Lepisosteus oculatus: one gene and its partners. The protein of the gene in region 1 purifies or fractionates together with the protein of each later gene. This does not show direct contact. Links are inferred from orthologs where the notes say so. Each region holds a gene or a part of one and is shown in the gene's direction. Other genes may lie near its edges. The genes, in order: sod1, eno1a, hspe1 and park7.

Region 1 (7,874 bases):
ACAGAATTATATATATATCACAGAAAAATGCAGTATCCAAAGTAACTGTTTAATTGCTGGGGAAATGCTTTATTGATTTTTTTCCAACATATGCTGTATACATAAAAATTACAAATGTTTTGATTTGAGGCCGCCCTTCATCTTTGCTATACTAATTCCTGGTTTACAGTTACCAGTCAATGTCACGATTGTGTCATTAAAAAGGTAAGTTTTGTATTAATGCCTCTTGTTGAGTGGAGAATAATTGTCTGCCTTTCCCCCCACGTTCCATAAAGCGGAGATGTTACCATTATTTCCCATTATTATTTCCATTTCTCCTGTGTGAGAAATACACTATGCTCTTTCCAAAGGAGTCTGCATTATAAAAGGAAAGCGAGATAACGTCTTATGCTGATTGCTAAAAAAACTGACTGTCTCAACATCAACCTGAAAATGAAAACCAAGCAGAAATGGCTAGTCTTTTTATGCAGTAAGAAAACACCTTTTAGGAATGTCTGCTCTTCATAGCTAAATGTAAAAATGACATTGAAAAGGATGCACTACTTATACCAATCTACTAATTATGCATTGTTTGAAAACAATTTTACCCCTAAATATGAGTGGGGTAGATGTAAATCAAACTGTAGATGATCTGTGTACAATCCTAGTTATTGAGATAGACCGTGTGTGCTTAAAAAAAACTACATTCTGTTGCTTTAAATCAGTGATAGATGTTCCAATGCAGCTAAAGATTTTATTTCTTAAAGATCTGTTACATTACAATCTGAGCCATTTAACTGCTCTAGACCGCTCGCAGTTTCTTTTGCTGTTTCAGTTCTCAATATACAAAGACTTTGTAATAAAAAACAGCTAATCTAAACTGAGGAACTCCAATATTATTATCATAGAAAATTGAATGCATTTTTATATTTGTATCATATAAAGCTGAAGCTGCTTTTTTATATTTTATGCTTTGTTGATTAGATTCTCATACTATATTACAAGACAGTGGTGATATAATTACAGTGAAAGACTCACGCATTTAGAAATACGTTGTTTATGGAGGTTGTATTTGGAAGGTGATGAATATTCTGATGTTGAGGGTGGTCTGGGAGCTGGAGTGAACTTTGCCATACTATATATATTAGACTGCCAGGCTTAATAACCTGTATCAATTTACGGTATCTTATTTTTCCAATGCAAGGTTCTGCATCAGGTCTTTGAGCCAATGAAGCTGGCTGGGTGGGACAGACGTCCTTCACTTAGTTGAAATTAAGTATCTGGCATAGCAAAGACAAAGGTATTTGAGCAGGTATAACCCATAGCATATTTGTAAAATGACCCCAGTTATTATTTTTTTTGTCACTTCAGAATAGGTTAAATCTATATAGTATGTTCTAATTTATTCCTGAAGTAGAACATGCTGACTGCTGATAAATACCTCTTATGTACCCTAAGTCTTAAATGCAGGATCATATTAGTAATTTACTACTTCGAAGAGGTAATAAATTCGTAGCCAGCCATTGTATAGGGCTTGCCCATCATGTGCTGAATGCTTCCATCTCATGCTTGTGTAAACAGCATATAAAGAACAAATTCTTGTCTAATAATCTAATGCAATTCCCACTCATCCCTTTTTAAATGAGCATGTGCAAGTACTGGCTAAAGAGTGATACATATACATATTGAGCTTCAAGCATGTAGGTCATTCTTCCATTTTTCTCTTTCACTTTTAAGTTGTCTTCTTAATCTTAACAGAAATCTTCAGAGTATTATGCTAGATATGGTATAGAAGAATATTTTGAATACATAATTTTGTAAAAGCACAGTGACACAGTGGTTAGCATTGCTGCCTTTCACTGTTGGGGCTCTGGGTTCAACTCCAGACTTGGGGTGCTATCTGTCTAGAGTCTGCATGTTCTCCCCATGTTTGCATGGGTTTTTGCCAGGTGATCTGGTTTCCTCCCAGTCTAAAGACGTTAGTTGGCTTTTGGGAAAATTGGCCCTGAATGTGAATATTTGTTTGCCTGTGTTAGACTGTGATCAACTGGCACCTTCTCCTGTCAACAGCTCCCTACCTGTTGCTTGCTGGGATAGGCTCTAGCTCCCTTACAACCCTGTATTGGATTAAGTTGTTAGAAAGCCAATGGATGGAATATTTTCTACACTGAAATGTTTTCCAGTACAAGGAAGGGTGGAGGACCATGCACACTGTCTTCTTACACATGCACTGTCAGAGGCATTTATTCCTTATTCACCTCAGGCCTAGCACACAACCAAAGTAAAAGTATGATCAGCTGATGGGGCAATATTGCTGTCTCTGACATCACTGCAATTGTTCACTAGACAAGTGAAAGGGGGTAGGTGCTGTGATGCAAGCTAAGGATAACTGCCTGCATTTGTACAGCACTTTTCATTCCAAAGAATCCCAAAGCCAAGTACATAAAGGAGGGGGATACCACTTCATCCTCCACTGAAGTGCAGCAGCCACCTGGATAACAGCTATTATGCGCCAACATTTCCACTACAGAGTAGATCAGATACAAAAACGTATGCGCATTATGCATTCAGATTATCAGTATCACCAGACATCTTGATGCTCATGTCACAGAGTGAAAAAGTGGGTGGGGGGTGGGGGCCACAGGTGTCAGGGGCTGTTTGAATGCCAGAGCCTACCTTAGGGTTGATGTTTTTTTTCTTCTTGTCCTTTGAGCTTCTTCACATTGATCAAAGACCCTTCTTGTGTTGACACTCATTATTAACACACAAGTCACAGGTGATGTGTGGGATTGGGGACAGGTTTAACTAGGCCTCAGACTGAGACTGGGGTACTAGAAAAGGATACGAATACACAGTGCATTGTTCCCCTTATCCGTCATCATACACCCAGTTCATCAGTGAACCCTGAGTAGTTAATTCTACACCTGCCCAAGACATCGAAGGAACTCTCCCTCCTGAGATCCAGTCATGAGCCCTGGTTAGGAGGGAAGAATTAAGGGGGACAAAGAGTGCAGTGTTGGACCCAGAAGAGATCTCAAGATACTAGGGACTCCACAGAGAGAAGTGGTAGAAGGCCCCAACATCTCCCTCACACAAAACTGGACTTGGGAACAAACCGCGCAAGAGGTGGAGTATGAGGGAGCACATTGTTCAGGACAACTGGAACTGAAGATGCCTAAGACCACTGAAAAACTGCACAAAGTTTCTTCACTGTGGCCGAAGGAGGCACACCAGGTCATTGACTGCAGCTGATTTTAGAGACATGATGTAGGATGACTGTCTTTTTAGATCATATTTAACTTCTCCACTCAACTGCTTCATAATACATTTAAACATCAGTTTCCATAAAAGAAAGAGTAGTTGATAAATTCAACATTGTAAGATACCTAGCAACTAATGGTGTCTAACAATCAGAAAAGCATTTGAATTCTTGAATTCACCTGGTCCAGTTATGAGCACTTGGAACAAGACTTTTACATGTATTTTAATGGGGATTTAGTGTTGCTTTTACAAGTTTTTGCCAACGAGCAGATATTTTGCAACTGGGACTGTAAAGCAAGGGATGAGCATACTCATTTATTTGGCTGAAACTTTTATCCAAAGTAACTTACATTTGCACATAATTGTATAGCTGGATATTTTACTGGATCAATTTTGGGTGAAATACTTTGCTCAAGGGTAGACCACTAGTACCTTACTTGTGATTTTGTAACCTTCCAATCACATGTCCAGTACACAAACTACTGCTCCACACTACTGCCTCTTTAACCAAATGATCATGCAGAGGCTGAACAACCTCTTATGCTTATCAGCTTATGTTTTTCAAGACTGGCTGGGATGAATTCAGGACATGTGGATAAGACAACCAGTAAACTGCTGATATCTGTCACAGTTGGATACGTTCTAGACTGAAGTTTGGGCAATAGAATCTTTAAGACTCTGAATTGTATTGAATTTGAATTCAAGTCTTGAAGACAGAGAAAATGATAGTTTCTGGTGGCACACTTCTTGCTTGACCTTCCTGTAATACAATGCTGACAAAAACCTAACTCTGATTCTTCTTCAGATTTGAAACTGACCAGACTAAGACTCCAATGAATGCAATTACATTCAAGAGAGCACAAGAGGATTGTGAACACACTGTATGAAAGAAAACTAGCAGAGTGTGCTGAGTCACTCCAGCAAACAGGAAGTCTTTAACTGGCTCCTTGGATCAAAGCCACTAACAGCCAAGAAGGTGAACAGCCTCTGTCATACTTTGCCACTGTAAATGGAGGATTTAATTTCAAAGTACATTGTGTGTATTATTCAGGTGCAGTTTTTCTATTAAAACAACATTCTTTCTGGAAGGATATGGATGTAGTAAGCATTCTATCCTACCTCCTTTGTTAGAGCCATGGTGAGCCTATATCACTTTTCCCTATAGAGGGTGCACCATTGTTGGCCAGGACGGATTATAAAAATCATATAGCTAACACGTAAGTCTCATGCATAATCGACTGCATCTTCAGTTCAGTATTTTTTTATTCTGATTAAAGAAGACGGGTTTCTTATTTACAGTGGTAGGGAGTTCTTTTACACTGATTACACAAGCAGGAAATTAAAAAAAAAATGCCGCTCGAGAGGAGTGCATGGACAGTTTTTGTTCTTCTCAGCACAGACATAGCACATGCAGTGTACGCCCCCTGCACTGTTGTTTTCGACATTTGTTTTTACTTATTGCTCTATTTGAATGACAGTTTGTTTTTATTATGGTATATTAGTCAGTTATCTGCTAAGTTAATGTTTTTCACAACTTGATTATTAACACCCACTCGAACCTCCAGCAGCGTACCTGCCGCGCAACCTCCGGGCATGCGCGCAGGCGGAGCCTGTGTTCTGACTGTGATTGGGTGCGCGCTGGATTGGGTCGTAGGCTGCGGCATTTTAGCAAGACACTACGGACTGTTGTAGGGTGTGTGTTTGCTAATTGTGTTTAGGCAACATGGTGTTGAAGGCAGTTTGTGTTCTGAAAGGCAGCGGTGAAGTCTCGGGGACTGTCCACTTTGAGCAGCAGGTATTCGCATTGTTAATACACGGATGGTTATTTATTTGATCGCAAGGCCTTAGGTAACTAGGATGAGACCCTGTTTAGTCGCTTGAACTTCAATATCTGCGTCCTCTTTTGAACGAAGTTCAAGTTCTTTGAATACCAGTTGTCGCTTGTTCGTTTTCAGTAGAAAGGCCGTGTTTGTAATACATTTTTTTTAATTGTTCTGTGCACACCTTTCTTGTCATGGCTTGTTTCCGATGCACGTAAAAACTTCTCTTGAAGCTTGTTCACCGAAGCGGTGCTATGTTCTAAAGCCTGACAGGTATAGACGTTGTGAGGTGTAGTATTGCAATTTCTGTATAAAATGATTATAATTCTACTTCTTGCGTGTCGTTAGGTGTATGGCGTTATGCCAACTGTGTTATAATGCACATTGGTTGCATAACTCACTTCGGGGCAAAGAGCATTGCTAGCGGTTGAAGCTGGTAAGTTGAGGCTGCTTCGCTTTTATTGTGAAGCAGCTTAAGAGGTGCACCTAGAATATCAGAAATGTAGCGTTTCTGCTGAGTCATTTTCTTCTTTAAAGCGTAAGAGCCTGGTTTTGTACGCTTTCTAATGTCCGTGGTGCATCTCCACAAGGAGCGAAGCGAGTTTTGTTTTCATTTATGCAGCTGTACCTGTAAGGTTATTTGTTTTTGCATACTTTTTGGTGCAATGAACACAATGATTAAAGTGTATTGCTCTTCAACACTATACTGTGATGCCGCACGAAAATAGCGCCATGAAATTCTGCTTTCGAATCTACTGCGCATGATCACAAATATATATTTTTTAAATGTTTAAAAGTTGCATTGTCATTATTATCATATGCTGTCAAGACAAATCTTGTATTTCGTGATATCAAGCTTCAATTAGCCAAAGTAAGGCGGCACTCTAAAATAAAACGATATCCCCTTATTTCAAAACCCAAGACAGTTGCAGAGGCAGGGAAAAGAACTGAAGTAATATTTACTGTTTTTATTCTTTTATTTAGTGAAGAAATAACAAAAATGGATGGATTCGAGTTAGATTCCACATGATAATAACGAGACCAAGAAATGTGATTATTTTAAATGTTTAATGTTCTTTTGTGTAGATCTGTGCCTTTCATTGATAGCTCCTTATTTATATCCATTCTCAACTTTTATATTTTTGACGAAGTGTAGTACACGTGTATTCAATTGTTTTTTTCCATAGACTTAGTATATGGTGCTGGTGTAGATTTTGTGGCTTAAACCTGAGATCTCTAAACGTTTTTCATTTGTGAGGAAAGCAGACCTGTTTCATGCAGTCTTCGTTTTTTTGTGCTGATAGAATGGTGATGCACCAGTAAAAGTGACTGGGAAGATTTCTGGTCTGACTCCGGGAGATCACGGATTTCATGTGCATGCCTTTGGAGATAACACAAATGGTAGGTGTTAAAGACCCTGCGTCTCTTTCATAGAAGCAGATTTACTGCTGAGACACTACAAACCTGATTTGCACTCTTTGTGTCACTACTGTCTCTGGTATACATTTCCTTTATTTGCAGAAAACATTTGTCATTTTGTTGAAAATATTTCAGTTTTTAAACTGAAGAGTATCCAGTGTCTTACAAAAGTTTTGATCAAAAGATCTGTATCGACCCTCATTCAGGTAGTGAATTTCAAGCAAAGATTCAAGCATGAAGACTGAGAAGCTTTCCATACTCGAACGTAAAGTTGTAGAAAGTCACAGATCAGAAGAAGAGAGTATAAAAACTCTTCAAGGACCCTTTATATAGCAGCCATATCACCCTGCAACTCACAACTGGCAACCCACTGAAGCTAAGCAGGTGTGAGCCTGGTCAGTACCTGGATGGGAGACCTCCTGGGAAAAACTAAGTTTGCTGCTGGAAGAGGTGTTAGTGGGGCGTGCTGTCAGTCATGGTGGTGGCACTATTATGTTATAGTTCAGCCACTTAATCAGCGAGGAGTGGGAAGCTTGTCAAGACTGAAGGAAACATAGATGGAGCAAAATACTGGCAAATGGTTGCTGGCATGTAGCTCCACCAAGTGAACCATCAGGGCCTCCTTGAATAACTTCTGTTTAACTTTCCAGGCTGTGTAAGTGCTGGGCCTCACTATAATCCACACAACAAAACCCATGGAGGCCCTCGCGATGAAAACAGGTGAGTCTAAGAATGGGAAGAAATCCAGGGTATCAGTTTGTTCTTATGTTTTTTATAAAAACATCAGGACAGTCCAGTTTTGTTATTCATCTTTTGTAATTGGTGCTGTTCTTGAAACTTTTTGTTTTGACATTAAGCTTGAAGATTTCTCATTACTAGGGAAATTTCATGTAGATGAGGTCATTAAGGGAGTTTTAATAATGTAAAAGTGCATGTGCTTTACTGAAAAATGTAACTACATGTGGGATTAAATATGTGACCATGGATAAAACTTCTGGGAGAAAAAAAGATAGTTTTTGTATGTGTATATTTTTGTTTCCCCTGCTTTTCTGTGAGTTTCAGAATGAGTGACCATGTAATAATGCAACTTTTCATTCAGATTTTATTTCTTAATGTCACTTTTTTTTAAAGTAAAAGCATAAAAAAGTAACTGGGTTTAATTGAAGTTGGGGGGGGTGTTCCTAGTAAATTTGTTCCCCAAATCAGACAATGACTTGCATGAAGTAAATAATAGCTCCATTCTAATACTGGGAATCTGAGCTTTAATCATATAACATAACCCACGCAACCTGTTGAGCAGTTCCTGGTGCCATGATAGAGAAGCTGATCTTGCTTTTGTTGGCTTTTGCACATAACTGTTGCTTGTGATGACCTTGAGAGACCTGTGCCATATTT
Region 2 (7,231 bases), on another chromosome or scaffold:
AAATGAATACCATGAGGCTGAAATGGCCTGTGTGAGCAAATCAGGGTATCGGGGTTCCCTTCTGCTTCTAACCGCAGAGAGCCTTTTCGGATGCCTCCTAGCATCTAGATGCGGTACTGTCGCATGCACGACTGTTCACGGTCCCAGACACCCCGCGGCGGAGTGGTGGCTCTGTGGCTCAGGATCTGTGCCTGTGGCTGGAACGTTGCTGGTTCAAATCCCGCGGCCAGTAGAGGAGGGCCCCAGAGCAAGGCCCTTACCCCCAACTGCTCCAGGGGTGCTGTACAATGGCTGACCCTGTGCTCTGACCCCCAGCTTCTCTTCCCATCTGTGTGTCTCATGGAGAGCATGCTGGGGTCTGCGAAAAGACAAACTCCTATTGCAAGACATTGTATGTGGCCAATAGAGTGATCTTGTCATATCCACCCATGTTCAGCCTGCATCTGGTGACAAAGGTCACTGCTTTCATTTGGTCTAGAATGGAAATTGATTTGGGAAGGGGAGGGGGGTATTGATCGGTTGAAGGATCAACCTTTATGCAATGTGTGGGTTTTCCGGAGTCAATAAAATTAATTATTTACAAACTTGAGTCGGGCCGCAGGCATGGCTGGCTCGGGTATAGATTTATAGATCACCTCTCGCCGTGTATTTGTCTTCCAGCCCCACGCCTGAATTGAACATGACTATTTCTTTTTTCAAACGAGGTGGCAAATGTGAGAAACGCACCACTGAGGCATAACTTATTTGCAAATATTGCCTCGGGAACTAAATTAATGGAACACTCCATTCAAAAAAAAAAAAGAGCTTCCCCCTGACGTAGAAGTACACTGAAACTCCGGGCTGTGCGGTGTTGGCACTGGCAGAACAGTGAGACCCTGATGCTGCACTTCTTCGTCTGACCAGTAGGAGGCAGTGTAGACCCTCACTGAAACCTTTGAGAAAGAAATAGTGGGCTGGCCTGGTTGGAACTGGGTGAGAGGAAAAAACTAATATTTTGCTTCCAGCCTTGTAGAGAATAAATAAAAATGAATAGTAGCTTTACGACTGATTGCGCCTGGCAGCCCAAAGTGTTCTGCACCTGGGAGGAGACCCAGCTGGGTGACACACAGCAGCCGCTATCTACCAGCGGTCCCAGTACCCAGCAGAGCCTGGTCTGATTGGCCAGAGCCCAGACAGACTTCAGAGTTCAGGCACTGGGGTCAGCTCCCCTGCCCTCACAAGACAGCCATGGGCATCTTTCATTAAACTTCCAAGGCAAACAAAACTTCAAACTGTTTTTTTCTTTTTAACGGATTACAGAGTAGGCGTGCTGGAACAATGAAGCCATCACATGGCAGTGACTCAGAAAGCTTGTGTCAGTGCTGTGGTGGGGCTGATGCAGTCCAGGCTGACCAGACCAGGATGCTGGTACACTAATACAAACAGTGCCCCACTTCTCTGGAAGAGTCTTCTACAGCTGGCAAAGAGAGCAAAGATTGGGTGCCGCTGCAATTGTGTGTGTGCGTTTTTTTAATTGAGTGCATTAATATTAGAACACACGCTGGGAATGACTCCAGAGTAAACAAGGGCTCTTTTATTCAGGCAGTAGTTGTTCTTACTTCTGAAGCCTCAAAACGAGTTTCATTCAAAGTTAAGTTAGAATGAATGGAACAACTGTCTCAATAAAACACGACTGCTTCCTAATATCTCAGTGAATCATTTTCTGACTACTGTTCTACCCTCAGAAAGCCCTGGGACGTCATGATGTGGGTTCCTGCCTGGAAACGCATTTTCTTCCGCCTCTGTCCGTGACGTGGCGCAGGCGAACCACCAGGCGGCGCGCTCCCGCGTCCCGCCGTCCTCAAGGTCACCGCGCGCGTCCGCCATTGCTGATGCTCCGTTCTGCACTCCTCCGGCTGCCATGGTGACGGGGGACGGGCCCTCGCCATGGCAACAGGGCCTCGAGGGGGGGTGGGGGGGTGGATGACTGCCGCTGATCATTCAATGGCGGAAAAAAAGGACGTTTTGAGAATGAATCAGCCCCGTGTTCAGGAATGCTTGTGCACGGTTACAATTTCTGTTCAGATTTTGTGCGTTACAAATGTGTTTATATATGTCTACAGGTCGGTACCGAAAAGGGCAGCAGGGTGGTGCAGTTGTTAGATAGACAAGACTTTATTGATCCCGAAGGGACATTGAGGATAGCATTGCTGCCCCGCAGTGCTGGGCCCCAGGGTTGAATTCCAGCCCTGGGGTGCTGTCTGTGTGGAGTCTGCATGTTCTCCCCGGGTTCGTGTGGTTTTCCTGTAGGCGCTCCGGTTTCCTCCCACAGTCCGTCCAAAGACATGCTGGTAGCTTAATTGGCTTCTGGGAAGACTGGCCCTGGTGTGGGTCGGCCCGGTTAAGCCAGGGACCAGCCGGTTTAGCCGAGCTGGACCGAAACCCAGACACACGGGCCTGCCGGGATCAGGACCGGACACCCCTGTCCTCCATTCCGTGCTGCTGTTTGCGCAGATCTGCTCATCATCGCCTGCCTGCCGAGACGGAAAAAAAACCTAAAAAAAGTGACATTTTGTCTTCCAATCGCTCTGATGAAGGGCGCCTGTGAGCGAGACACGCCGCCGAGGCGAACACGGTTATAAATTATGCAAGCTGCAGGTATTGGGTAACAGGTCTCTCCGCCCGGAGCCGAGCTCGTTAGGAAAGACAAGGTTTGCGCGTTTTCTGATTCCAGTTCCCTGTTTGCAGAAGCGCCATCCCTCCGCATTGCTCGCTAGCACACCAGGCAGCCCCTCGGCGTCTCCACACACGGGGCCCGGGAGCTGTCTGTCCCTCAGTTCACGGCAGCGTGGGTTCACCCCGAAAGCGCTGAACCGGCGCCCACCCGCCACCAGAAAGCCGCAGACCCCCCGGGTGAGAGAGGTCGGGGCAGGGAGCTGCGTCAGGCTTGTTGGAGGGGACCAGGTGAGGGTTTATTACCGGCTGGGACAGGGAAAGGGAGGAGACGGCGCCTCGTTCGTGGCCGCCCGCCTCTCGCTGGAAACCCCACGTGAATGCCGGAGGACCACGCGGACTCCACGCAGAAGGAGCCCCGACCCCACAGTCGAGCCCAGACCGCAACAGCTCCAAGGCTGACACCCACGCCCCTAGACTTGGGACGTATTCATTTATTTTAAAAAAAAGGAACAAGAAGAATATTTCATCACTGACGTATCTCTTTATTATAGCATTAGTTTTACAGGGCTTGAGAATCTCCCCTCGCCTTCTTATTCTTGAACCGTTTTTCTAATGATCGTGACAGAGAAAATGCGCGAGTGATATGCATCATGGAACAGGTCATGGGTTTATTCCCTGCCGAAAGGAGAAGAAAGAAAACACAACGTTTCGGCTGTGGACCCTTCTTCGGGTGTAAGAATAATGGGGGCACTCAGCCTATCTCCCGTGTGTATTATAGCATGTGTATGTGCACCTATGTTATGTGTTCGGCTACGTAAAGAGAAAATAAAGATGAGGAAAATGTCAGCTCGCACTCGGGGCTGCGGCGGGTGTCTGGCGAAGGAGAATGACTGTTCTGTATCAATCTGCGGGTCACCCTGAGTGGTTTGGGGATGACTGAATCGTGAATCGGCCGTGGAAAGCCTGGCTCGGGCGGCGGTCTGCTCCCTGTGCAGTGACGCAGCGCCGTCGCGCGGAAAGCGTTGCTGATTCCCGGCACGTAGTCCTCACTGCGCCACCGCATCCCGAGCGGGGGGGGGGCTGGGTCGGGACTGTCCCTGGAGAAGCACCTTTCATCCTGGGATCTGGTTACATCCTTGAAACCCGTGCAGCACCCCGAAATAAAGGACCCATCCCCTACCCACGTGCGCAACAGGCGGTGAGCCCCGACAAAGCTCACGACGGCGGCCCCAGTTCGGCTCCAGGCGTTATCTGCGGTTTTTTTAATGTTACAAATACGTGCATTGCTTCCGATAACGGGTTTCACCTCGGCCTGTGGAGATGCTGCGAAACGAGGGGACGCTAAAGTGGGGGCTTCGTTCGTTTCGTTTGGAAAGAAAACGCGACTTTTTAAAAAGAAATCTGACGCAGACGGTAACAGTAACGTGTTCCGCATCCGCCCGGCGGGCGCCGCTGCGCTCGGTGGAAACTTCCAGCCTCGCGTGCACCGGCCTCCTCCTCCTCCTCCTCCTCCTCTCCCCCCCCCACCCCGAGTTGCGGGCGTGTCGCGTGAGCCCCGCAGGAGCCAATCAGGCGCGAGCCCTCTTCCTGATAGCGCTGCCCTGCGCGAGCCCTGCTTCTCTCCGTCTGCCAGCCAGCGCGAGCCCCTGTCCTTCTCCTTCTCCTTCACCGCCGCACAGTCAGGTAAGAGCGGCTCAGCACCACGTATAAAGCCTTTAGCCCAGTTTAATCATGAGCGGGCCCCGTTTTGTAAGCTCTGTTTTATTCGTTTCTGGGGTGTGTGTGTGTGTGGGGGGGGGGGTTCCCCATCTCGTGCGCTTTCTATGCACGCGTCGTCTTTAATATTTTTGATTTCCCGAAAGTTCCGAATTAATTCACATGCTGTGACCTGAATCAGTGTCTCTCTCTATACCCTGCTTTCCCCTGGAAAGCTCCGGGAGGTAAGCGGGTGTCGAGACGCTATGGGGCTGCAGCTAATTAATAGGGGGCCCGGCAGTACATTGTGTCAGAGAGGAAGTTTTGTCATTTTAGTTGGAAGGTTTTAATCGCCCATTTTAGGCGATTTCTCTTTAAACCTGTTAATTATCTTAAAGGTTTTGCCCGTCTGGGGGGCGGAGCGTGAAGGGTTCGCTCGGTGCACCGCCGGGGGTGTAATTCAATTAGGGGTATCGGGTTCAAGTTCAGCCCCAGCGGAGAGCGTCATATCGGGGCTGCCGGCGGTTTGAAACGGGTCTGTCGCTAAGCGGTCGCCGTTTCCTCTCTTGACAAAGCCGTATAGAAATGCTGAGATCATTCTGTTACAAGACCAACGTTTGATATCATTGTGCAATTTTCCTGTCGTTCTGAACTCTGCTCTGTAGCTCGTAGTTCCTGGTTAACTGTATCTCGGGAGTAAAACGCTTCTCAAGCGGGTCTTTAATCCCAGGGACATCCATGTTGTCCGTGTCGGAACTTTAAATAGACTGGCTTTTTTTCTGCTTCCTGGGAAACGCCAGTCTGTCTGTAGCGTTTTTTTTACGTGAGTTTTTTTAATGCGTTTAAAACGTAACTTTCATCTCCTCCTCCTGTTAATTTTTTTTAATTGTTGTTGGGGGTTTTTTTCCTAAAAAAAAGACCACTTCTGGAGGTGGGGAGGGAAAGAGACGAGATCCCGGTTTAGAGACGCAGAAACACTATAATTGGAGCGAATATAAGACTCGAGGCCTTCCGGGCTGCCTCGCTTAACACACCCGGCTGGAGGGGACGGGCGACGCTTTCTGATTTACTGAACAAGCCGAGTATTTCCAGCTCCCAGGACACGACCTTTGGAGGCAACGCCGCTTTCGGAGGTAGCGGTTCCAATGTCAATCGTGTTTTCGGGGTTTTGGGGTCACCCTCAACACCCACGTCCTCCCCGAGGCGCTGCGAGCGCCGCACCTGTGCGGAGTCCCCGGCACCACCCGGGAGGGTGGGGGTGGAAAAAACACGACATCGTGCGTGTCTGAGAGGAAAAAAAGGGGTGTCGAGTGGACTTTTCGGGGGTGACCCCGAAACCCAGATCGACATTGAAAACCACGTTGCCTCCAGAGGCAGTGTGCCAGGAACTGGAAATGCTCGGCGCGTTCAGTAAATGGGGACACGTCCCTCCCGCCCACTCAGGTCTCTAGCGGTCTGATTCCTCAATGTGAAGCAGAAACCACGTTTCTTGCGGTGAAAGGGCTGTCCTCTCAGCCACTCAGACTGCTTTCCACCAGCACCGTTTGGGAGACCCCAGTAGTTTTATTTTCATTAACATCACGGGACCCCAGTCTGTGTCCCTCAGTTCTTGCGACCCCCCGGTTGTTTGCGAATTGGGGTATGTGAAAAGACAGTGCAAGAAATGGGCTCATAAAGTGATCTTATCTTATCTATGAGCAGGACTGCTCACTACTGGAGAGCACTGGAATGGCTGCATATTGAGTAGGGGGGATCTCCCATCCTGGTCCAGGAAAGCTGTAGGACCTTCTGGTAATTGGCTAAGTTGAAGTGAAGCTAAGTGTTGATATAACAAGCTTCAACCCTAACCACTAGTTATAAATGCCTATAAAACCCAAAGGACAGAGGGTGCACCTGAAAATGTGCTTTGGGGGTTATGACTCTGTTAGTACTGGCCATGATTAATGCTCTTTCCTGTGAAATTGCAGATGTCTGATTCATGCAGCGCAATTGGCGTTTAAGGAAATAAGTCACTTGGTCCTGGAAATAAGTTTTTCGATAGCACGGGCGGCCTGTTGCCGAGGCTGCGAGTCGTTATATACAGGCCTCTCAGGCTGTCCGCGTTGGTGAGGAATATTGAAGTCTTGGCTGTGAAGGAAAGCCCATTGCAGACACCGTAATGTTGACACGGAGACCTGCACTGGCCGTGGGTACAGATCAGGGTACAAAAGATAAGCTTCTTGTAGGCTTCTAACTCAAAAACTAGATTTACTATGCAACAGCTTATTTTTTTGTTCTTTACTCGGAAGTGCATTTCTTAGCCATCCTGATGCAGTTTGATCAGTTTAACAGTCTCTCTTCCTGGCTGTTTCCTCCGAGAGCAGAGACCCCTGTCCTACAGCTTTGTAACCAAGAGCACCTTGGCTAGAATAGACTCGCTGTGAATAGCAAGTTTGTTTGTTTTTAACCCCGGCTGGCCAAAAGCTGAACTCGACTAAAAGCCTGTGGCTCCATTCAAACAGCCGTCCCACTCGATCGTGTGGACGAGGGAAGGACAGCACGGGTCTGCTAGCTCCTAGGGACAGCCGGGGGCAGTTTTCCAGTGGTCCATCTCCATCGCGCAGACATTAATGGATCGAGAGGGAGTGCTGCGCAGGGCATCTCGCTAAAAGTCTAAATAGGCTTTTATTGGTTGGGTGCGCCTCACTTGACATCTGAGCACTGACTCATTTTGTGAGCTTGAAAGGTATTAGCCCACGAAGCCTAAACTAAATCGGTATCCTTACCAATAAGCACTTTAGTCTCCCTGGCCCCTAGTGCCTTAAGGTTAAAGGGCCCCAGTTTTGATGCCTGATGTGTTGCTGTAGGGACTAAGCTGAGGTGTCTCATTTGGCAAAGTTAG
Region 3 (7,702 bases), on another chromosome or scaffold:
AACGACCCGAGAGACCGACACTCGGGAGCAAGAGAGGGGTGGACAGACGGACCTGTTGAGCACCAGCGTGCTGAGAGCCTCCCCGTCCACATCCTCGGCCACGATGACCAGGGGCTTGCGGTGCTGGTTGGCGATCTCGAGAGCCGGGACGATGGACTGGACACTGGAGATCTTCTTCTCACTGAGGAGGAGATAGGCATCCTGGAACTCGCACTTCTGACCTGGGGGGGGCAGAGAGACAGGACATTGATAAGAACACACACGAGCGTTTCTGTCGCTGTGCGGATGGGCTCCCCGATGACTCCCGTTTCGTTTCTACTTATTATTACGAAAGACGCTCAAAAGAAAGGCCACGAGGAAAGAGAAAACAGCCCAAAACAAACAGTTTACAGTTCTCAAACAGAAGCCACCTTGCAGAGAGGAAGTGTGGCGGGGACAGGGTAGGGCCAGGGCCTGGCAGAGCGCCCTCACCTTTGGCAGTGTTGATGAAGTACGGGGAGATGTACCCACGGTCGAACTTCAGACCCTCAATGATCTCCAGCTCGTCGTGCAGAGTCTTACCATCCTGAAAACACACATCCAAGAACACGGCATCAGCCGGCACACCGGACCCATCACACAGCTCACACACCTCTCTCCCAGGAAAGACCCGCGACAGGCTGCTTCCCAGATCACCAGACACGGATTCCCGGAGCACTTCTCCCAACTCGAGAGCCACAGGCTAGTGGAAAAGCAGTCACCCCCCCCCCCCCCGTCTCACTTCACCAGCTCCTTTAGAGCAACAGCAATGCAGAAGCCAGGAACACTGCTGTCGAACTACCCCGATCCGCTACTCTTCCTCTGCCTATTCCTGCAGGATTTCCAGGCTCTTTAATACATCAACTCTTACACTTCAGGGGAAGGTGAACAACTGAGCAACACGCTGTTGCTCTCCAGATCTGGATTGAGAGCATCATTCTTTCCAGTGGCCAGTGCTGTGGCCAATTCAGTTCCCACTGGACAGTTCCTAATGGACCTAATGGACATTTACTTGGATCGAACCCGGGCATGGAGCTCAGAGTGATGCCCCGCCCCACCGCCCCCTACAAAACAAGCCCCCTGCAACCCACCTTGACGGTGATGACCCCCTTGCGCCCCACTTTCTTCATGGCGTCGGAGATGATGTTGCCGATCTCGCTGTCCCCGTTGGCAGAGATGGTGGCCACCTGAAAGAAGGCCAGGAAAGAGAGAGAGAGGGCCGTCAAGCGGGGTACCCCTCCCTTTTACCCTGGGGGCAACGAGGCGCACCCCTTCCCTCACGCAAGGCCTTACCTGGGCGATCTCCTCGGGCGTGGTGACGGGCTTGGAGAGCTTCTTGAGCTCGGTGATGACCGTGTCCACGGCCAGCATGACCCCGCGCCGGATCTCCACGGGGTTGGCGCCTTTGCTGATGGTGTCGAAGCCCTCCTTGGCGATGGCGCGGGCCAGCACGGTGGCGGTGGTGGTGCCGTCGCCGGCCTCCTCGTTGGTGTTGTTGGCAACGTCCTGCACCAGCTTGGCGCCGATGTTCTTGTACTTGTCCTTCAGGTCGATGCTTTTGGCCACCGTCACCCCGTCCTTGGTGACCTTGGGGCTCCCCCAGCTCTGCTCGATGATGACCGTGCGACCCTGCACGAAGGCACAAGGCGCTCGAACCAGGACAGAATCTCAGGCCTCAGGCATCCATCTCTGCACAACATGCTTCAAACCCACAATCCATACACAAACAACCCACCGCTACACATTTCCTGCTGCACACAAACGTGTACACGCGTCACTGCCAAACAATGCGTATCACACACACACACGCACACACACCAGGTGTCCCACCCCCTCCTCCTCCTCTTCCGACCCCTCTCCTGCCAGGTGTCCCCACCCCCTGCTCCTCTCCCTGCCCCCCCCACAAGGTGTCCTACCCCCCTCCTCCCCCACCAGGTGTCCTACCCGCCCCCTCTCCTCTTGCGACCCCTCTCCTGCCAGGTGTCCCCACCCCCTGCTCCTCTCCCTGCACCCCCCACCAGGTGTCCTACCCCCCTGCTCCTCTCCCACAAGGTGTCCTACCCCCCCCTCTCCCACCAGGTGTCCTACCCGCCCCCTCTCCTCTTCCCACCCCTACCTTGGGCCCCATGGTGACGGCGACGGCGTCAGCCAGCAGGTCGACGCCCTGCAGCATGAGGGCGCGGGCGTCGGCGCCGAACTTCACGTCCTTGGCGTAGCAGCGCGTCAGGTGGGGCGCCAGCGCTCGGCACGCCGGGCGCATCCGTCTCATCACGGTGGGCAAGCGCAGCATTTCCTGCAGGGGTGCAGCAGAGACGGGCCTGAGCGGCGGACAGACGGCGATCCCGCGGATCTTGCTTTCCAAGGAGCAACAGGGGGGGGGGCGCCTTGGCCTGGACCTGTTCCGGCTCCAGACCCCAGCTGTGTACCCCGAGACGCGCACGCTCACCCCACTTCTGCCACGGCGCGGGGCTGCACTGCAAGCTCACCCTGCCCGGCCTGTCTCCATGGCAACACAGCCTGAGCAGGCGCAGGGGCCTGCTTCAGCACTAACACCCCGGACACGCAGGGCCAAGGTCGTACCTGTAAGGACACGGCCTTCCCTCGAAAACCCACCGCCGGGAGAAGGGAATCTGTGGCGATTAGACAGCTGTGTGGCGACTGCCGGATTATCAGAGCTCTTAACCGTGAAGGCACACAAGGCCAATGCACTGTAAATGCACGACCGGGGTAATAGGCTCGAAGCGGGCCGCAGATTACTCAACCACGACTCCTTGAGCGCCTCCTGCGCCAGGACAGACCCGACGCCCTCTTATTTTACTGTGTAATTACACTTTCAGCAGGTGTAATTTTAAAAGCTAGAAGTCGATGTGGGGGATAGGGCGGCTCGGAACGCAGAACTGTTCTTTATAAAGACCGTGTGGGGGGGGTCCTAACTGTTTACAGACAAGAAGCCAAAAAAAAAACAACAACAATCAAATCCACTTCAAGTAAACGCACTACAAACCACCCCTCAGTCTTGTGACAGCGCCTAATCTTTCACGGCGTCTTTTCGGCATGAAGGTCCGTCCTTCCGCCCGCGTGCGTGCGTGCGGGGGTCACGCACCACAAGGTCAAAGCCGTGGCTGCGTCGAGAGCGTGCCGGTGCGCAGCGGCGCACGCGGAGCTCGCTAGAACTGAGCTTCATCGGCGCCCCCCGCTCACGAGGACATCCCTGCTCGCGGTGGAAGCTACTATCTGGACAGCGCAAGACGTAGCAGAGCTTACGACTAATCACTATCCAGTGATGTGTTTTTAAGTTGACTGTCTTAATGAGAAGAGTACAATAACCTCCTTAACAAAGCGCAATCTTTGAAAACGTTAATTCCAACATAAAACCCCCCGACTTCTCCGAATACATGCAGTTCATTATCCTTCTAGCAGTAGAGACGTAGCCGTCTCTGACTGGGATGGCGAGGTTCAGTCAGACGCTGACGAGAACAGACTGGAGCTCTCACAGCACTACACGGTTCCGCAGAACCGCTCGGCTCGCCCGTTTCACGCGGCAGGCGCTTAACGCCGTGCTGGGCGATATTCGAGATGTGCAGCGCAGCAGCGGGCAGACAGCAGAATCTCTCCCCCCTCCACAGCGTCCGTTACAGATGCAAGCGCTCATCATTCATGTCCAGTCCAGCCGGAAAACTACAGAAGGACAAACGAGCCACCCCCAATCCCTCACCTCGGGGTGTAAAGTGGAAAACACAAATAGGCACAGAAAAGCGGACGAGTTACACCCGAAGCGGCCAAGGGCAGGCCCACACGAAATGAGGAGGTTCACGGCCACAGCCGAGCGAACCACCGCTGCAGACACGCGAGCAGGCACGCACGCACGCCCGCCCGCCGCCTTCAGTCGGCTCGAACCGAGCTGTAGCGCTCCGCTCCGTCACGGCAGAGACTGAACAGGCTCCCCAGGAGCGGCGTGCGGAACCGTGCTCCAGCGGCGAGCGAGCGAGGAAGGGGAGCCCGGGTACTTACTGTCGGGGTGGATGGGATGAGGTCAGGAGGGAACAGACGACCGCCGCGCAGTGGGCTCTGTCAGAAGAAGTAAGACGGCGAGCTGCGCTGCTGCCTAAAAGCGCCTCCTCTCCGGCCTCTGAGCGGCGCACATGGGCATCTCCATCCGGGTAACGCTGGGGGCCGCCCCGAAACCTGTATAACTGCACACACTCGCCCCGCTGGGGGGGGGCGCGCAAGACTGTGGCGGTGAAGACCCCCCCACACACACACACCTCATTGGGGCCCGCCCGTCGCGTTACACGGCTCCGGGAACGTAACTTTAAACGCAGGTGGGATAGAGCGCGCCAGGGGGGGGAACCTCCATGCTCGTTCCGGGGCAGGCGATTTCCAGAAACTTCTCGGACGCCATTGGAGGAGGAAAAAAAGTTCGAGGGGTCGAAGGTGAATGTTGTGTAATTTTGATGCAATGGCGGGGGGGGCGGAGATGCACGCTCTGCTGCCAAATGCATCGCTTTGAAACACATTGCACCCGTGTATGAAGCAGTAATTCCGCTGTATGCACTCACAGGAGGCGGGGGCGGCTGTCGGTTTGCGCGCTGGCTGCAGGGCGCGCGGGGGATCGTGTCGGGAAGGTTCCAGAAGGCTCTGGAACCCGGGACAGGGGGAGGAACCGGCTCGGGGGGGGCGCGCATGCGCTGTCGGGCGCCCGTATTTCTTCACGTGGGGCGGCGATTCTGGTGTGTGAGAGAAAGCCAAGTCTCACGCGTGGAGAAGCCCCGAGCGCAGGACACAGGAGGGTCGCGGTGGAACCACGCTGCTGTGTGTAGAAACGTTCATAGAGACACGTCGGCATGGTAAGACTCTCTGCTCCGTACGCAGGCCGTGCCGTAGGGCGGCCTGCAATGGAGCAATTTTAAAATGTCTGGATATCCAGATCAGAAGCTCCGATGCGCCTTCTCTAGTACTTTCTACTCCGTGTAAGCTGAGCAGCACGCTGGTGAGCGCGCTGTAAAAGCAGGTCCCTTGGACACTTGGTATAAAGCGGGCTCTCACTGGGCGCAGAGGTGGGGATACTGCTCCATACTGACGATAGGATCGGCGCGGTCGCAGGTTTTTAACACCTGCAGCCGCACGGACTGGGCCGGCGGGCGGGCGGGCGGGGGACTCCGGCGACACCGGAGACGGAATTCGGGCTTTACCGAACCGACAGAGACCCGGGGGTCAAGGTCGGGGCCCTCAGACCGGTGCTAGTGAGCAACCCGGCGGGCTGTCTTGCCTTTGGCATTAACGTTTTCCTTTTGGATTATTTTCCGTGTTCCTTCCTAGGTGACCTGACAGAATCCGGCCTTTAAAGTCCGCCCTCTGCTTCCTCGGCGGAGGCGTTTAGTTGTTACGTCCCTGTAAAACGCATGCATGTGTGAACCCCGTAGACCATCGACAGACGTCTAAATAGAAGTGTTGCTCTCAAAGATGGCTTTAAGAACACAATTTTTAAAAAAGGGAACTTAATTTTGTGAATAAATACGTTTTTTTTTGTTCATTCTTTGTAAATGCGTGTGTTTAAAAGTCTTCTTGATAGCTGCCGTACGTGTGTCAGCCGGCTCGGCACGCGTGCCCTTGTAATCACGCAAGTTGCTACACGGAAGAACAAACTGTGGCTCCGGTTTATCTTCAATCACATCCGGGGCAGATATGAAACGTGAACTCGGCGTTTTGGAGGTCCCGCTCGTCTCGGAAGTGACCTCCTTGCTCTTTCCGAGATAGTCGCACATCTAGGCCTTTAATTGAAGCCTTCCCAGTCTCCAGTAGTTACAGGGAGTTACGATGATCTCTTCAATCAAGTAATTAGTTAACCAGATGTGCTCTCACGCAGCACAGAAAGTCTGAGGCTGGGCTAAGTCTTAACACCCCCGGAGAGGGGCAGAACTTTCTGGGTGGACATTTTTAAAACCTGTGATTTTTACTAAAACACGACTTGCCAGTTCCAGTGGTGCAATTTGCATCTGAAGGTGCATGTCGCCTTGGTGACCCCATTGCACTTCTGGGATGAGGTGCTAGTGTGCAGGAGAGGAGGGGGAGGCCCGTGTCTCTGGCAGGATCAATGTTCCCTGCCCTGTGCTCTGCTGACGGCAATCATTAACGATGCTTCCTGTCTGGCTGCCTTGACCACGCGTTGGGAATTAATTCCCTACAGAGCTCACAGGCTGTTGGCAGACGGGGCGCCCCTCCCCCCTGCTCCGCTGTTGTCCGTGCCCTTGAAGTGACCTTGATCCAAGGTCGCGCGCACAGCCCTCCTCCTCCTCCTCCTCCTCCGCGCGGGCCAGGGACAGGACCTCGTGGATCCCTGATCACACGCCGCTTTATCTGTCTGAGCTGCGAGACCTCGGGCGCTCTGCGACATTCCTCAGCCGGCTCCTTCCCCTGTCTTTGCTCCCGAATTCCTCGGCTCCTTCTGCCGACTCATCGCGAGTGACAAAGCTGTTGTTGTCGCGGGTCTCGGCACCCGTGATGCCCAGATCGTGGTTTCATCCTCGTTTTTAACCTGTTGTTCACACCTCTGCGTCGGCACCTTCGGAGGAGTAGCTGAGCAACTCGATGTTTCTGCTCCTCCTCCTGGGCATCTCTCTGCTTCGCCACCCAGATGTACCGCTCGCAGTGAAGTAAAGGCGTGAACACGTGCAGGACTTCCCTCCATGCCCTGGGCCTCTGGGGGAGAGGGAGTGTGCTCTGCCCCCTGGTGGCAGGACAGCAGGACTTCCGCCCTTGGGGTCAGAGTGGCCTGCGCTCGTTGCTTTCCCACTCGGGACGAGGATGCTCTCTCTCCTGCCTCTCTTCTCTCTCGGAGTCGCAGGGCATCAGTGGTGTGACCAGTGAATTAGTGTTGCCAAACCAGATACAATTAACATACCATTTGCAGACATTAATTATTGGACATTTGCATTAAACATATAAAACTTTATTGAGAGACAGGCTCACTGTCTGTTCCTCAGGCTGGGACAGGAGATCACACACTATTTATTATTATTATTATTATTATTATTATTATTATTGAGAGACGGGCTCACTGTCTGTTCCTCAGGCTGGAACTGGAGATCACACACTGTATAATTATTTTTATTATTATTATTAATACAGTGAGTGATCTGAGTGATCTGTCCAAGCCTGAGGAACAGACAGTGAGCCTGTCTCTCAATAATAATAATAATAATAATAATAATATTGAGAGACAGTGTCTGCTCCTCAGGCTGGGACAGGAGATCACACACTGTATTATTATTATTATTATTATTATTATTATTATTATTATTGAGAGACAGGCTCAATGTCATCAGATCACACACTGTGTTGCAGCTCTCTTGAGTTTCTTCCCTTTTCTGATTCCTGTGGGAGTGGGAATTCTGCGATTGGATGTGTTATTTCTGGGAATGGCGCTAGTCTCATCTCTCCCCCCCTCTCTCTCGGACCCTCAGGCGTTCAGGAAGTTCCTCCCGATGTTTGACCGCGTGCTGGTGGAGCGCTTGGCCGCGGAGACCGTCTCCAAGGGCGGGATCATGCTGCCCGAGAAGTCGCAGGGGAAGGTGCTGCAGGCCACCGTGGTGGCGGTGGGGCCCGGGAGTGTCAACAAGGTGATTTCGGGGGTCCTGCTGGGGCGGTCCCGGTCCGCACGCATGAAAGTAGCGCTGCTTCGCTT
Region 4 (7,180 bases), on another chromosome or scaffold:
CATACCCACACTGAAAAAAATTAAATCAGAAAACATGTTTTGTAGTTCTGCCAGCAGTAGATCAAAGAGGCTGACACTTGTTAATATCCGTTTGTTTTTTTTTTACTTGTAAGCGTTAAATCTGGTTTAAATTAGCACCCTTAAGCACTGTGGTTGGTGGGACATGAATTTGGGAAGGATCCAAGAGTGTCAGTGGCGATTTGCGCTCACATTTTAAACAGCCAGTGTGGCACGTAAAAACAGCTCTCCCAGTCTGCTGTCACTTGTGGAGGTGAGTGAGCCAGCCGAAAGCAGACAGCCAGTATTAATGGCTATTTAATGAATCGGTGCTCTGTTGGTACGGACACATAGTGGCTCTCCTGTTCAGTCTAATAATCATTTTCCTCATCTGCATTCAATTATAATCTCACCTGTTCATTCGAATATCATTTTCCTTTTCCCGGAATTTAGCAATTCCTAGCCATATTTCATTCTGTAATGTAATAATGTTAATACCCAATTAAATTCAATTCTAATGCGCTCGTGAATGAATATTCGGAGCTGTTTAAGCTGTTGAAGCAGCGGTATCCACCTGTCAGCCTCCCCTCTGTGAGCTTCCACAGGTGTGATCCCTGCCAGCCGGCCTCGCCTGTCCCTGCGGTGTGCCGACTGACGATCGGCCTGACCTGATGGCCGCTGCGATGCGTTTACTCCAGGTCTCCCCAGCAGACAGACGGAGCACGCCTGCCCCATTCCCTCTCCTCCGTCCCCATCGCCTGTGTTTGAGACTCTGAGGCAGGGTGGGCTGGCCAGACTGTGTGACATGCTCTGAGGGGGTTGCACCTGGCCGCAGAAGCATGTTGTGTGAACCAGCCCTGCCCGGCTGTTTGACCCCTGGCTGCTGGCTCTTAAAGCACCTGGAAGACCTCATCGCCAACTGCCAACAAGGAAGTACTCCCTTTACCATGTGCCACTTCAGGAGGCGTGCCCATTAGAGTACGCTAGCTTAGTGACCGAGAGGAAGGCATTTAACCCCTACTTCTCTCTTAGTGGACTGTAGCATACTGGGCCATGGATCTCTTCTTGATAGCCTTGATATCCAACATTCCAGATTTGAATGGTAAAGTCATAACTTCAGCACGCGCTGATCTGAGACAGCCGAATCGGAGAGGGGAGGGAATTTATCTCTGACCCTGTTTGGGGCTTTAAATTTCAATCTGGGAACTGTAAAGAAACGCACACATCCGGGATCTGAGTATATGGGGTTATGGGGAGGTGTACATGCAAGGAAGCATGGTGTTTATGTCCAGGGTGGCTGGGATGGCCACCTCTCCTCCACCGCTACGCCCCTGACGTGATCTACAGGGAGGGGTCGAGGTAGCCTCCTCTGTCTCCTCAGGGAGGTTGAGGGAGGAAGGAAAAAATGGCAGCCTTGTGGTTAAAAATAGGACGTGGAGGATATTTTCTTTTGGGTCTTAGCAGTAGCTACAGGCTGTAAAATTAAATTAAATTATACTGTGGCTATGTTTGTTTGCACACTACAGGTGCCCTTAGCTAAAGGCCTTCTACCTAGTCAGCAGAGCAGATTAGCTGTAACCAGTATTGGTACAATAAGTCGGTGAGCTGCTTTGTTGAAACAGCAACATTAATCGTGAAAACGGTACAGGGCTAAGAAGAAGAAAAGCCTTTTGAAAGCAATTACTCTTTAAGAGGTCTTTGTTTATTCTCCGCCTGCCTTTGGAAGAGGTTTTCCTGCATGACAACAACAAAGAGCGTCGGGGAAGAAAGTTGGATATTTAGGAAGAAGCGCCCGCTACGCCTCATTTAAGTTTGCAGAATCGCACAGATGGCTCAGCGGGCAAATTTGCATCGTCAGTGTTTCAGACTTTAATCCCTATTCTTACGAGGTTACCTGGTTTACAAGCGAGTTTAATAAGCATTCCCTCAGTATGATCATATGCTCACTATAAGCTTCTTATGTAAAGAATAAAAAATAAATAAATGCCTGTTTAGGGAAAATAGCTAGTGTACGACTGCGGCAGGCTCAGTGATCCCGGTTACATATTTTGGTAATCGTTACTGCCTTCTGGATTTGCAAACAGGCACGTAGAAAATAGGCCGGCTACAGCACCCCAAATCTTTATTTAATCCGTTGTTTCATTGGGCTCTTTTAAGTTGCACAAATATGAAAATGCAACTGCAGAATGCACACTGGTGCATTAAATTGGGACAAGTGCCTGCATATTAAATCTCCAAACCATTCACGTTCTGATTTACATGAAAATATAATTCCCTGGTGTCCGTTTATGACTCGCTTATGCAGCTGAGCTATTTGCACGGCGTAGCTTGTAAGGAAGCAGACTTCCTGGGCCCAGTCGGTGCACTTACCCCAATAATTCAGACAGGGATTCAAATTCCCACCAGTATATTGTAATTGACTCATTGAATTGTGAGTATAAAAAATATTGTCTGCGACATACAGGGTTCGCGTAAAGTTTTCGGTCCTATTGGAACAACCATATTGTCAGAACAAGTGTCGGGATCACAGCTGTACAAGGCTTCACATCTTCTCTTCTCAGCATGGAATAAATCTATTTTCTTGTTCCTTTGCCGACTCCGCATGCTGACGCAGCTATCCACCTGAACTGTGGTCAGAACAGATTACTACAGAGCATTGAAATCTAGCACTTACACAAATAGGATCTATCCTGACCCTTACGAGACGTTCTGAACGTGGACGTGATCAATGGACAAGAATCCACGGAGAACAATTTCCTATTGAAAATCACGGTGCACACTGAGAGTGCGGTTACCTATCTACAGGGATCCACATTGTGCACTATGCGCCCCCCTGTGGACACTGGTGATGTTAGCGCTTTTTGGTGCGTTCATTTGTTGTTCATGGGTTGTGCCATCTGAAAGTTATTGAGAGCGCGTTCACATCGCTCACATCTTGAAGAATAAAAAAACAGTGCATTTCAAAATATATTTTGAATAATATTAATATATTTCAAATATTGACAAACTAAGACCAATGGAAGTACTAAATCAATTGGACTTAAATCAAGTAAAAGATTCTGAGGGTACTTTATTTTAAGTATAGTACTTCAATTATATTTTGAACTTGAACATGAACTTTATTGCCATATGTAACCGGTACTGGTACAATGGAATTCTTACTAACAGAAAGTCTCTCGATCATAAAACAAGTGTAAAAAAACAAAACAAAGTGCAAACAGTTTAATGCACTCTATAGGGACTTTTAATATATTTGCTGGAAATATCCTAAGAAAATATCTATGCTTGTAGGTCTACTGTAATTTAACATTAAATACACACCAATACAGCTGCCACCACGTCTACTACTAACCTAGGAATGGTAAATAATGACAAAATATCCCAAATCTTCTTTTTAAGTATAAAGTACAGCACAAGGAACGTGGAGAAAACGTAATCTATAACTAAACTAATTACAGTTTAAGCAACCTGTATTTGAATATAGTTGACTACATTGAACATTTCTGACAAGGTGCTGATCGCAACATTTTAAAAGGCGCAAAAGTGATAATAAGTGTGACACACCCCACACAAAACTGAACTTTTTGCGGGCTCTCACAAAGGCGCCCGTGCAGAAGCGTCTTTTACACAAGAGGCTGGAGATGTCTGAGGGAAAACGGTACAGCGCAGTACTGGGTGAATCTGTATAGGCACAGACGTCCTGCACTTTTAGCTTTTTTGGAATATGTCACATCCTTCAGAGATTCTACATCAGCATTTAGAAAAAGTGTTCACATCGCAGAATTTAATGGATATATATTGTTTCTGGTATTAAACCATGTGGACATGTGCCCTTAACACCTCTGAAGAAGAATAGCAAATATCTATATTTAGCATCTATATACAGTACATATAAAGAAAATGTGTTAATGTCATGGACCACATAGGATGCTTCTTCATCACTAAGGTGACACCGCCCTCTAGTGGCTGAAGAAGTGTCACACCTGCCAACAGCAGCTCATACTGAGAAGCTTCCCATTTCTTCATTTCGTTATGCAAGTGTTGTTTTCATTTATAGTTAAGTATGGACACGAAATAATGATGGTAATAAAGCTTTAAGTACACGCCTTGTGGATTAGGATCAAGAACGCGCCTCATAAAATTGAGCCCCCGTGGCATTTCGGTCGCGCTGTTTGTCCCCGAGCCTTTGCCGTAGCTAGGGAAGTGTGTGTGTGTGGACACTGTTGAGTTTCAGGTCGTCTGCAAGTGCCTTTTGTTCACAACCTCAATCTAAGAAGTTTGCTTTGGCTCTTCAGAGTTCACACAAATGGCAGCCAAGCGGGCTCTGGTTATCCTGTCGAAGGGTGCTGAGGAGATGGAGACGGTTATCCCGGTGGACATCATGCGCAGAGCCGGGGTCTGTACTGTATGCGGCAGTTTGACACGCTTAAACTTTACCTCAGCATAGGTGGTGCATGAAAACAACGTGCTATCCTCAGGCCTAATGATGCGCATTCCTTCTGTTCTGCAGAATAAGAGAACTATTTTTTAGTTATTGCTTGTATATGATATATTCTTGCTTCCACAAAAGACATAACTGTGTTTGTACTGAAAGAAATTACGAAATAAACCGCCAGCGTTGCAGCAGATGTTTGAGTATGAATCGGTGCCTTGAAACGGTCATCCACGGTAATAACGACGAATAATCGGCGTTACGCTATCTACAAGGCTGCGATGCATTTTTGTCTGCTGCTATGAAGTCTTCATTTTTAACAAGTGATTGGAATTATTAATACGTTTAATACTACAAAGCACTCAAAAACAAGGACACCGAGTTAATAGTAAAGGCCGTAGTCTTAGGACGATTAGATTTTGAAAGATGAATATGTATGCGAGAGCTCGGCATTTGCACATTGCAGTTGACTACAGTACAATGGTACTGTAATTTTCATTTACTTGTCAGTGACTTGAATATCACTGTGCATCTTCATGGGATAGTTCTGGAAAGAGCAATGTCTCTTAACCAGTCTGCAGGCACGGTGCAAAAGTGGCGTGAAAGTGATCCAATAAACTGAAGAGAGGCGGGGTCAGTGACGCGGAATGTGATAAAGATAGATCTGGGGTCTACTGTAAATGTCAGTTAGCTGCAGGGATGTTCTTGGGTAGTTCATTTCTAATTAAAATGACTTCTGTAATATTGCGAAGGCTGCCTGATTGAGGCAGAACTGTAATGTTAGGCGAAACAAGCCCCGTCCATCACTGGGATGCGTTCTCTAAGGCTCAGAGACCTTAAGGAGCTCCTGAGTCCAGGCTCAGTGATCAGAATGGGACGCCGTCCCACAAGGCCTCATCTGCAAGCGTGTGTAAAGCTGGCCTCATGCCCAACAGTGTTTGAAAGCATTGCTAGCCTCTGACTTTACCTTTGCACGTAATTTTATGTGTTTGTTAGTGATGCCATTCTTTTGATCACCGGCATATGCATACAAAGAGGGTTGAAATGAATCAGGCCAGTAAAGGATTTCTGGGCACCGTGTGAGGCCAGAAACCCATCGACCTGACGGAGGGCGCTTGTTCCGCAGGTGAGCGTGACGCTGGCCGGCCTGTCGGGGAAGGAGCCCGTGCAGTGCAGCCGAGACGTGCTCATCTGCCCTGATGCCAGCCTGGAGGAAGCCCGCGCGCAGGTCCGAGCAGCAGTGTCCCATACGCGTGCGCGCCATGTGTTGAAAGGAGTTTGTGTTTAAATGCCGTCAAATTCAAGTTTGTAGTTCTGAACCCAGGCTAAACTCTGCATTTGACCACCAGTTTACCCACAGTAAAACACTGCGTGTTCCTTTCTGGCAAACGGTTAAAAGAAACAACACTGGTGGGCCACAATCATCAATATTATTGCAGACTTGAGGAATACAAGGGCTGGGCTTTATTAGGATTTATTGATGGATTCGGCAAGGATTAATTTAAGATTTATGTGGTACCATTTTTTTTTCTTTAAGTGGTGCTTTTGTAGGTTACTTTGCACTTTTTGTAGGTTAACTTGCGCACTTGTTGACAATGGCACCTGTGTCAGCCTAGCGGAAGATTCAGGAGTAAAGGCTGAAGTATTAACTCTGCTCTCCTCACACGGTGGGTCACATTGGGCATTTTGTGCTTCAAATTATTTTGCATACAGCAGATGGATTAACGAAGGCTGCCCGTCCGTTTGTAGAGAGGTGTTCTGTGGCGATGTGTGAAAAAGCAGGGCTGTATCGGCAGTGATGTGGCCTGCCCTTTTCTCCCCAGGGCCCGTACGATGTGGTGGTTTTACCCGGAGGAAACCTGGGGGCGCAGAATCTGTCTGAGGTAAGAGCAGGACCGCAGCACAGGGCCCTAGTTTCCACTAAAACTGTGGGGGAGTGGGACAGGTGAATAGGAACGGAAAAGAGTTACTTAATAGAAACAAAAACCTAATTCTGTCACATAGTGTGGAGTTAAACAGCTGCCCCTAATGGCATCAAGGTGTAATTGTATTTATGTAACATGGGAATCCTATGAGAGGCGCAGAACTCTACTTTTCATTACTGCGCATACGAGTGTTGAATTGTGTGGCCAGACTCCTTGTGTTTTTTCTTCCAGTCTCCAGTGGTGAAAGACGTGCTGAAGGACCAGGAAGGCAGGAAGGGGCTGATTGCTGCCATCTGTGCAGGTATCCCCAGATATCGCGGCTCATTCAGGGCACGCAGAGGTGTGAGCGGGGGCTCATTCAGGGCACGCAGAGGTGTGAGCGGGGGCTCATTCAGGGCACGCAGAGGTGTGAGCGGGGGCTCATTCAGAAAGCACAGAGGGCTACACAATCTTGTCCTGTTAACAGATGCATGTGCCAGTCCATTCACTGGCTCTTTCTGGAGAGAGCTGTATGTCAAAGAATTTAAAAATCCTAGACAAATAGGAAGACTTAAGAAAAACGCACAAAGAGGTCATTTAGACCACTTTTGCACGATGCTGTAAAATTTCAAACTATGTATTTGAAATAGAGTAATAAGTTTGAAAAAAGAAGGGCATCTTAAACGTGATCAGTTTTTAAAAGTTTTTTAAATTTGCTGACAGATTTTGGAAATCCCAAACGTGCGCATCACCAAATATTCCCTGCTGGCAGCCTAACAATGCATCGATACAGAGGTGTTTCTATTCCATCTGCCCCACTTTCACTGGCAGTTATCAGCTGTAGATG

Evidence for each region.
Region 2: the proteins of sod1 (region 1) and eno1a fractionate together in Homo sapiens (co-fractionation; 3 studies listed by BioGRID, with this or other methods). This does not show direct contact. The link is inferred for Lepisosteus oculatus from reciprocal best matches to the Homo sapiens genes SOD1 and ENO1.
Region 3: the proteins of sod1 (region 1) and hspe1 purify together in Homo sapiens (affinity purification with mass spectrometry; 3 studies listed by BioGRID, with this or other methods). This does not show direct contact. The link is inferred for Lepisosteus oculatus from reciprocal best matches to the Homo sapiens genes SOD1 and HSPE1.
Region 4: the proteins of sod1 (region 1) and park7 purify together in Homo sapiens (affinity purification with mass spectrometry; 4 studies listed by BioGRID and IntAct, with this or other methods). This does not show direct contact. The link is inferred for Lepisosteus oculatus from reciprocal best matches to the Homo sapiens genes SOD1 and PARK7.

What each region holds. Positions count from the first base shown.
Region 1 is NC_090700.1:19,762,620-19,770,493, reverse strand, and holds the start of sod1 (superoxide dismutase [Cu-Zn]), read left to right. Parts: upstream 1-4,867; 5' UTR 4,868-4,963; coding exon 4,964-5,035; intron 5,036-6,364; coding exon 6,365-6,461; intron 6,462-7,129; coding exon 7,130-7,199; intron 7,200-7,874. UniProt on the Homo sapiens protein: Destroys radicals which are normally produced within the cells and which are toxic to biological systems.
Region 2 is NC_090720.1:1,528,096-1,535,326, reverse strand, and holds the start of eno1a (enolase 1a, (alpha)), read left to right. Parts: upstream 1-4,227; 5' UTR 4,228-4,338; intron 4,339-7,231. UniProt on the Homo sapiens protein: Glycolytic enzyme the catalyzes the conversion of 2-phosphoglycerate to phosphoenolpyruvate. In addition to glycolysis, involved in various processes such as growth control, hypoxia tolerance and allergic responses.
Region 3 is NC_090707.1:7,076,926-7,084,627, forward strand, and holds the start of hspe1 (10 kDa heat shock protein, mitochondrial), read left to right. Parts: upstream 1-4,685; 5' UTR 4,686-4,862; coding exon 4,863-4,865; intron 4,866-7,481; coding exon 7,482-7,637; intron 7,638-7,702. Other genes in the region: hspd1 (60 kDa heat shock protein, mitochondrial), read right to left, coding at 53-221, 472-565, 1,110-1,205, 1,312-1,647, 2,135-2,308. UniProt on the Homo sapiens protein: Co-chaperonin implicated in mitochondrial protein import and macromolecular assembly. Together with Hsp60, facilitates the correct folding of imported proteins.
Region 4 is NC_090720.1:6,610,821-6,618,000, forward strand, and holds the start of park7 (Parkinson disease protein 7 homolog), read left to right. Parts: upstream 1-4,160; 5' UTR 4,161-4,303; coding exon 4,304-4,393; intron 4,394-5,555; coding exon 5,556-5,657; intron 5,658-6,252; coding exon 6,253-6,312; intron 6,313-6,585; coding exon 6,586-6,655; intron 6,656-7,180. UniProt on the Homo sapiens protein: Multifunctional protein with controversial molecular function which plays an important role in cell protection against oxidative stress and cell death acting as oxidative stress sensor and redox-sensitive chaperone and protease.